Linked DNA regions of Sus scrofa. The protein of the gene in region 2 purifies or fractionates together with the protein of the main gene of each other region. This does not show direct contact. Links are inferred from orthologs where the notes say so. Each region holds a gene or a part of one and is shown on either strand. Other genes may lie near its edges.

Region 1 (3,747 bases), on a different chromosome or scaffold from region 2:
GGCCAAACCAAGCCACAGCAGTGACAACACCAGATCCCCTAACCTGCTGTGCCACCAGGGAACTCCTGGAATTTTCTTAACAATGTTAAAACACACATACCTTAGTCTAAAGCCAAAATTTATTAAATGAAGTAACACCAGAAGGACTTCCTTTAATACCAGCAATAAAGGATGCCCACTGAAATGCCATTTCTCACCTAACACACTGGCAAAAACTAAAGCACAAAGGCACACTCTTGGTGGTAAGGTTGTGGGGAAACAGGCACTACTCTCAAACACCTTTGGTGGGAATGCAAATTGGTACAAGCCCCCCACAAAAAAAACAAACAAACTAGTATAGCCCCTCTGGAAAAGAGTATGATAACAGGCAACAAAATCACCAATGCACTTACCTTTCAAGCCAGCAATCCTAGGAATCTACCCTGAAGATGCATCTCCAACCATGTAAAAATACATATGCACAGGGTTCCAGCACTGTTTGCCATTGCAAGATCTTGAAAACCACCTAAATGGCCACAGATAGTCCAGGATATGAATAAATAAACTATGGCACCTCCATACAATGAAGTAACATTGCAGCTGCAAAATCCATGAGGGAATGTTCACAGCTACATTATTCATAATAACCAAAGAGAAGAAACAACCCAAATGGCCATCAACTAATTTCTGGATAAACAAAATGTGGTCCAGCCATACAATGGAATATCAATCAGCCATAAAATGGAATGAACTAATGAAAACACAGATGAACCACAAAAACATGATGCTGGGAGTTCCCACTGTGGCTCAGCAGGCTAAGAACCCAACGTAGTGTCCAAGAGGATGCAGGTTGGATCCCTGGCCTCAGTCAGCAGGTTAAAGATCTGGCATTGCCATGAGTTGCGGTCTAAATAGAAGACTCAGCTCAGATCTGCATTGCTGTGGCGTAGGCCGGCAGCTGAAGCTCTGATTCAACCCCTAGCCTGGGAACTTCCATATGCTGCCGGTTGGGCCCTAAAAAAGCAAAACAAACAAACAAACAAACGAAAAACTCAGCAAGGCCAAAAAGTTTAGAAGTTTAGTAAAGACTAAGTAACTGGTGGAGTGCTGTGGATGCTCCAGTTCTATCCCCAGCGGGGCGCAGTGGGTTAAAGGATCCCCCTTTGCTACAGCTGTGGCACAGGTCAAAGCTGTGGCTGTGATGCAACCCCTGGCCTGGGGAACTTCCATTATGCCACAGGTGGGACCATAAAATTTTAAAAAACCAAAAAGGCACATTCAGGACTTAAACCTCATGAGTTTCCAAAATCTTTATGGTACAGTTTTCATGGCCCTCAGAACACATGACAACAGCACACCCTGAGCACCTCACCCAGATCCAGTGATAAGGGGTGATGTTTCTTAGCAGGCTCTGGCCTGGGAATGGGGAAGCCTGGGCCGTGTGACTGACATGGCATCAGATGCCGGTCTCTAGGTCATTTCCCTCCACTGTATGAGGCTTTGGGCTAGACTTGGGATCCACAAGCTACCAAGCCCACAGTTTCTGTACAGCTCAAGAGCAAAGAATGGCTTTTTCTTTTTCTTTTTTTTTTAATGGCCATACCCATGGCATATGGAAGCTCCCAGGCCAGGGATTGAATCTGAGCCACAGCTGCAACCTACCTACCCTGCAGCTGCCGCAAAGCTCGATCTTTTTAACCCACTGCTGGGGATTGAACCCCTGCCTCAGAAGCAACCCAAGACGCTAGGGTGGGCAGCACAACCCACAGTACAATGGCAAGAACTCCCACTTTTTACATTTTTAAATGGTTGAAAAGTTCATGACACATGAAAATTACTGACAACATAAAATTGCAACTTCAGTGTCCCTAAATGAAATTTTCTTGAAACAACTTTACGAACTGTCGTTGGCTGTGTCCACAATACAGCAACAGAGCTAAGAAAACTATGCCCCCTCCTCATTATAAGCACAATTACACTCATTATTGTCACAAGGAATAGTATCATATAAACTACTCTATTTAGAACCGAAGTTTGCTGACCCCTGAACCAGACGTCTCTGAGGACACATGGGTCCTAACCACGGTTATGTACCACACAGAAAGAACCCCAGCCGCTTGGTCCGCATACACAGTAGGCCCTTCACCAAGGGGTGAAGGAACCCCTAAAGCCGCCTGTGCAGACACCTGCCGACGTCAGAAAGCTCCACCTGGCCTCCTCCGGGACGGCAGTGGGTCCAGGCTTTTAGTCTGGAGTCGGCTAGCCTGCCGGGAAGCTGGGGACTTGGGACAAGCGGCCGCACCACCTCTCGGCCTCAGTCCCCATCCCGCGAGGGGCGCCCACCTGGTGCCCGCCGCGCAGCGCCGCCGCGAAGGTTAAGTGGAAGGACACGCAGCAAGGGTGGGTGCGGGGCCCTGTTCCGCGACCGCAGACGGGACGGCTGAGTTGTTGAGACCCCCACAGCGTTCCTGAGACCCCCGCCCCAGGCCCCAAGCGGAGCGGGAGCCGCCAAGAGGTTCGCGCGGCAGTGGGGCCTGGCTCGGCCGCTCGGGCTCCCAGCCTGGGTTTTTCCGTGAGCAGCCCCCAGCCAGCCGCTCCTCAGCACCACACCTCCAAGCCTCACCCCAGCCCGGGGCCTCCCCAAACCTGCAGTACGCGAACTCACGAGTCGTCTCCACGGCAACAGGCCGTCCGCCGGACCCCCGCGCCCGTCGGAAGGACTGCGCGCCTGACAACAAGGAGCGCTCCCATTGGCTCGGGAGCCGGCTCCGCCAGCCAATCGGCGAGCCCGCACGCGCCTTCCCGAGAGCCAGCGCGCGGGGACCTTGAGGGCCTCTTGGCGGTAATCTGCAGCGCGGTTGGTGACACCTGCTAAGTAATCGGCAGCAGTGTTCCAACTGCGACAGGTGCTCGGAAGGTGGAAACCTGGGGACACTTGGAGGGGACCAAGGGAGTAACAATATTCTCATTCCTATGCCCGTGGCTCACCTTTTTCCGAAAAGGATTTGAAGCCTAAAAACCACAGATACAACGAACTATTGAAGCAGAGAGTACTGGGGGCGGGGAGCGGAGGGCGGGTAGTCTGTTGGGAGGTGAACGGGCGGGGGAGGGAACAACAGAATTTAAGAGCCTGGAAGAGGGTTTCTGACAACCGGCTGGGACTGAGATGTTACGCTCTTGGGAGCTAAGCATTTTAGGGAAGGGCTTCCCTGGTTCAGATTTATAGGTGCATGAGTCCAGGAAGTATGATTTAAATAAGAATGAATGTTAGGAGTTCCCTGGTGGCTCAGCGGTTTAAGAATCTGACCTTGTCTGGAGTTCCCGTCGTGGCGCAGTGGTTAACGAATCCGACTAGGAACCATGACGTTGCGGGTTCGATCCCTGCCCTTGCTCACTGGGTTAACGATCCGGCGTTGCCATGAGCTGTGGTGTAGGCTGCAGACGCGGCTCGAATCCCGCATTGCTGTGGCTCTGGCGTAGGCTGGCAGCTACAGCTCTGATTCGACCCCTAGCCTGGGAACCTCCATATGCCGCAGGAGCGGCCCAAGAAATGGCAAAAAGACAAAAAAAAAAAAAAAAAGAAGAAGAAGAAGAATCTGACCTTGTCACTGCTGTGGCTTGGGTTTAATCCCTGATCCAGAGAACTTCCACAAGCTGTGAGCCTGGCCAAAAAAAGAAGGATGAATCTTACGCCCTTTCTCTTTGACTTTGTTTAAAGACGGTAAAATCATGCTGAAGAACTCAATTCAGTACAGTAAAGCTTTAATG
Region 2 (3,747 bases):
CTTTATACCACTCTTACTTGGCAAATAGAAACAGTTCAACAATCTTATAAATGTGTTACGAGCTTATCTTTTCCCTACAAAGATAGTCAAACAGCAAATAGACACTGAATGTGGAATAATCAAGCAACAGTTTCCCTTGTTTGTGGTGCCATAATTTGTATTTACTAACCTTTTAGGTCATGGATTTTTTGAAAATTGCATGTCAGTATTCCTTTGTGATTCCTACTCTCCTTTTCCCTTCTCTATTGATATCTGTTACCTTTTGGTCTCCTCACACTGCAATTTTCTCCTTTTATTTTCCTGTTATGCCCACCACACAGTAGAAACCTGGAGTGTAACTGATCCCACCTCCAGTAATCTTTTTCTTATTCTAGAGTTTCCAGATTGGAATGGGAGAAAGAAGACCGAGGTGCCACCCAAGTATTACCTATTGCACAAAGTGTGTGCGGAAGAGCGTCTTCTCGCCCTTCATTTTGTATCTACTTAACTAACGGCGCTATTGTGCCCAAACGCAGGTATTGGCCAAGAACTACATTTCCAAAATGGCTTTATTCCTTTTGAGTTGGCATCAGTCTATAAAATACAATATACTTCCACTGCAACCAACCCTTTTTCTACACCCAATATTACCCAACATACAGAGGCTGAACCTAAGCTACTGTGGACAACAGATTCACATGTGCTTAATTCAGTAGAGAGCCGGAAAAGCCGTTGGACTGATGTTTAAAAAAAAGCGTTAAAAGAAAAAAACCCACAGCAAGCAATCCCAAGAGGCGGGCGTTGCCTGAGATCACACCCTCCCGCCGCCAGGCCCACGGCGAGCACGCCTCCTCGCCGTGGCCACGCCCCCGCCGCCTCGCCCGTGACCACGCCTCCTTCGACCCCGCCCCGCCGCGGCCACGCCCGACGTGCGGCGCGGGAGCCGCCGGGCCGGGGGGCGGGGCCTGTTCCGCCCCTCCCCCCGCCGCCGCCGCCGGCGGCCTCCGCGCGGGCCTCCCAGCCCGTATTCCACTCACTTTGTTCTCCGCCTTTGTCCTAATCCACACCAGCAGGTGGAGCCGCAGTTAAAGTTTCCGAGTCCATTCCGGGAGCGGGAGCCCATCTTGCTCGCCGCAGAGGCCCTCGCTGGAGGAGGAGGGTCAGAGCTCGGGTGCAGCCAATCGCGGGCAACGCTGCTAGTTATCAGAGCAGAATGGGCTGTAGTTTAGTGAAATAGGAAAGCTGCAAAACACAGTGGAGTGTTCCCGTGTAAATAAAAAGAGGAAAAAAAAGTTTCTCAAGTCGCCGCTGCACGACGTCGGGCCGGCGCCGGGGCGGGGGTCTGCGCTCTCCCGAGCGGCCGCGCGCTGGACTTTATTGTGCCGCAACAAGCCCCCGTTCCCATTGTTTGTGTTTTTTTCAAAATATGGCAAAGGTTCAGGTGAACAATGTAGTGGTGCTGGATAACCCTTCTCCTTTCTACAACCCATTCCAGTTCGAGATCACCTTCGAGTGCATCGAGGACCTGTCTGAAGGTGAGTCGGGCGCCCGCCAGCCGCCGGGCTGTCAGTTGCGGGCTGCAGACGTTGAAAGTTTCCCGGGCCCGGCCTCGCGCGGGCAGTCGGTGCTCGGCGCCGGGCGAGCTGCGGTCTCGGCTCTGCGGAGGGAAACTTGAAGTTGATGGACGACGGCCGCCGAGGCGTGCGCGGCGTTCGGCCGCAGCCGGGGCGCCTGCTGCGGCTCAACTTGCGAGGAACTTGTTCGAGCGGAGGTAGCCATGTTGTCAGCTTTGTCTGGCGGGCGGGCGGTTCACGAGACCCGCACTCTCTCCCGCGGCACCGGCCAGGGGTCGCGCCGGGCTGGCCCCGAGCCGCGAATGGCTTCCACGGCCCCCGCGGTCCCGGCGACGAGGTGGAAAGGGAGAGGCATGTGTGTGGTCGCGCCGGCGAGTTAGCAGCGGAGCCATCTTACCAAGAGTAGAGAATTGGGCCACCGACCCCGGCGTCACGACGCCTCCTCTCCGCGGGTGACGAACACGGCGCCCCGCCTGCCCACCTTCCTGCCCCGGAGCGAGAGGCAGATCCATTTTTAGAGCTAATGCCGGAGTTACCGTACACTCCTGGGTGGCCATGCCCGGCCGCTTCGGGGAGGAGAGCGAGGCTGTCCTCGCGCTGATTTCTGGCTCCCTCGACCAACCAGCGGGGGAGGCGGGCGCAGGCTCGGCCCCTCGGCGCCGCGGGCCGGCGACGGCGCTCCCCGGGGGCCGCGGGTGCTCCCGGGCCGGCGCTCCAGGGCCGGCGCCGGGGATGCTCGAGGCGCCTGGGGGATGCTGGCGCGCAGGCTCGCCCCGACCGGCGTGGACTCCTCATCCTTAAGGACCGAAATCTTCTCTCAGGAAGAAAATATTGCTAGCTAGGTGGTTACATTTAACCCAAATGCAGAAATAAGTAAAATATTTAAATAGTTTCCAGGACCTTATCACTGGTTTCTAAGTAGTCTGAAAGAAGACTTTCTTCAAGAACGTGTTGAACTCTAATTAAAATAACTCCACATCCAAATAACCTGAACATAAAACACAAAAAAGTGGGCTAGGAAATAAAAGGTTAAGTCCTGATGGTAATGCAGAAATTTGTGCCATTTTTTCTAAGTCCATTTTTAAGGTCTTAAAAAAGATAAATATTTTTAGTATGTGCAGTAATATTTAGAAAGCTAAAGTTTGCTAAGGTCTTACTCTCGCGATTTTACTAAAATTGTCCAGTGCTTCATTTTGAAAATTTGAGGAGGAAAAAGTTTTAACTTCACCAACGGTAATTTTAAAATTAAATAGACGTACTTTTAACTTACAGGTGTGTTTAACAAAGTGCATTTTTAAAAATATGCTAACCATGGCATGTAAAGCACTTTCACTTTAAAAATTGGTTTTTAATCTCTATATCATGTATTTTATGTAGGGTGTTAACGTTTTAAATTACAGAAACAACATGCTTACTGTAATAAACTTTTTAAAAGTTGTGCAGACATAATAACGTAACCATTCTCTATACTCAGTGCCTCCCCCATTTCACTCATCTATAAGTAATTATAATACTTTAGTCTGTGCTTTTCCATGTAGTTTTACTACATACATAAAGCCTATGTGCACATATATAAGTAGGGCACGTTTTGAAAGACGATTCATTTGTTGAACTAATTCCTAAATAGGCCATTGATAATAAAATTAAAACAGATTAATAGGGTACTCTGAAGCTACTTGGTTACTTTCCCATAGTATACAGGCCTACATTCATAGGCATTTCAACCACTAGGCCCATTTTCATGCCCATTAGTCTGATTTTTCCTTTTTATTTTCAGTTGCATATAAAAGTGGGCAAATGCAAGAGGGAAACTTTTGATGAATCAACTCCACCTTATACTGGAGTATTTAGGCATTGGAAGTTCTCGAAATTACAAGTATTTGTCAAGTGATGCCTTCCATTTTAGAGCCAGTTCTGAACGGGGAAGATAGATGATTCAGGATGTTGTTAGAGGGCTTTGCCATTGGGTGGCTGAAACCTGCCATTGGTAGAAGCTGAATTGTGTTCCACTTGTAACTGGGATCTGTTTAGAACCCAGCTAATCACATCAGAATCTTTACAGTATTGATGTCAGGAATACATCTACTTCGACTTGTATACCTCACCTCCCTGGGCACCTATGTAAGCATTTATTTAGTAATTTTTAAGAGTTTAAGCTGAGTCATACCAAAGCTGCAAAGGAATCTTTCAGAAA

What was found. Proteins that work in one complex are often made in the same cells at the same time.
Region 1: the proteins of ASF1A (region 2) and CABIN1 purify together in Homo sapiens (affinity purification with mass spectrometry; 4 studies listed by BioGRID and IntAct, counting the BioPlex papers as one, with this or other methods). This does not show direct contact. The link is inferred for Sus scrofa from reciprocal best matches to the Homo sapiens genes ASF1A and CABIN1.

The regions. Positions count from the first base shown.
Region 1 is NC_010456.5:49,784,985-49,788,731, forward strand, and holds the start of CABIN1 (calcineurin-binding protein cabin-1), read right to left. Parts: upstream 2,730-3,747; 5' UTR 2,626-2,729; intron 506-2,625; exon of another isoform or gene 393-505; intron 1-392. UniProt on the Homo sapiens protein: May be required for replication-independent chromatin assembly. May serve as a negative regulator of T-cell receptor (TCR) signaling via inhibition of calcineurin. Inhibition of activated calcineurin is dependent on both PKC and calcium signals.
Region 2 is NC_010443.5:43,212,229-43,215,975, reverse strand, and holds the start of ASF1A (histone chaperone ASF1A), read left to right. Parts: upstream 1-956; 5' UTR 957-1,405; coding exon 1,406-1,514; intron 1,515-3,747. UniProt on the Homo sapiens protein: Histone chaperone that facilitates histone deposition and histone exchange and removal during nucleosome assembly and disassembly.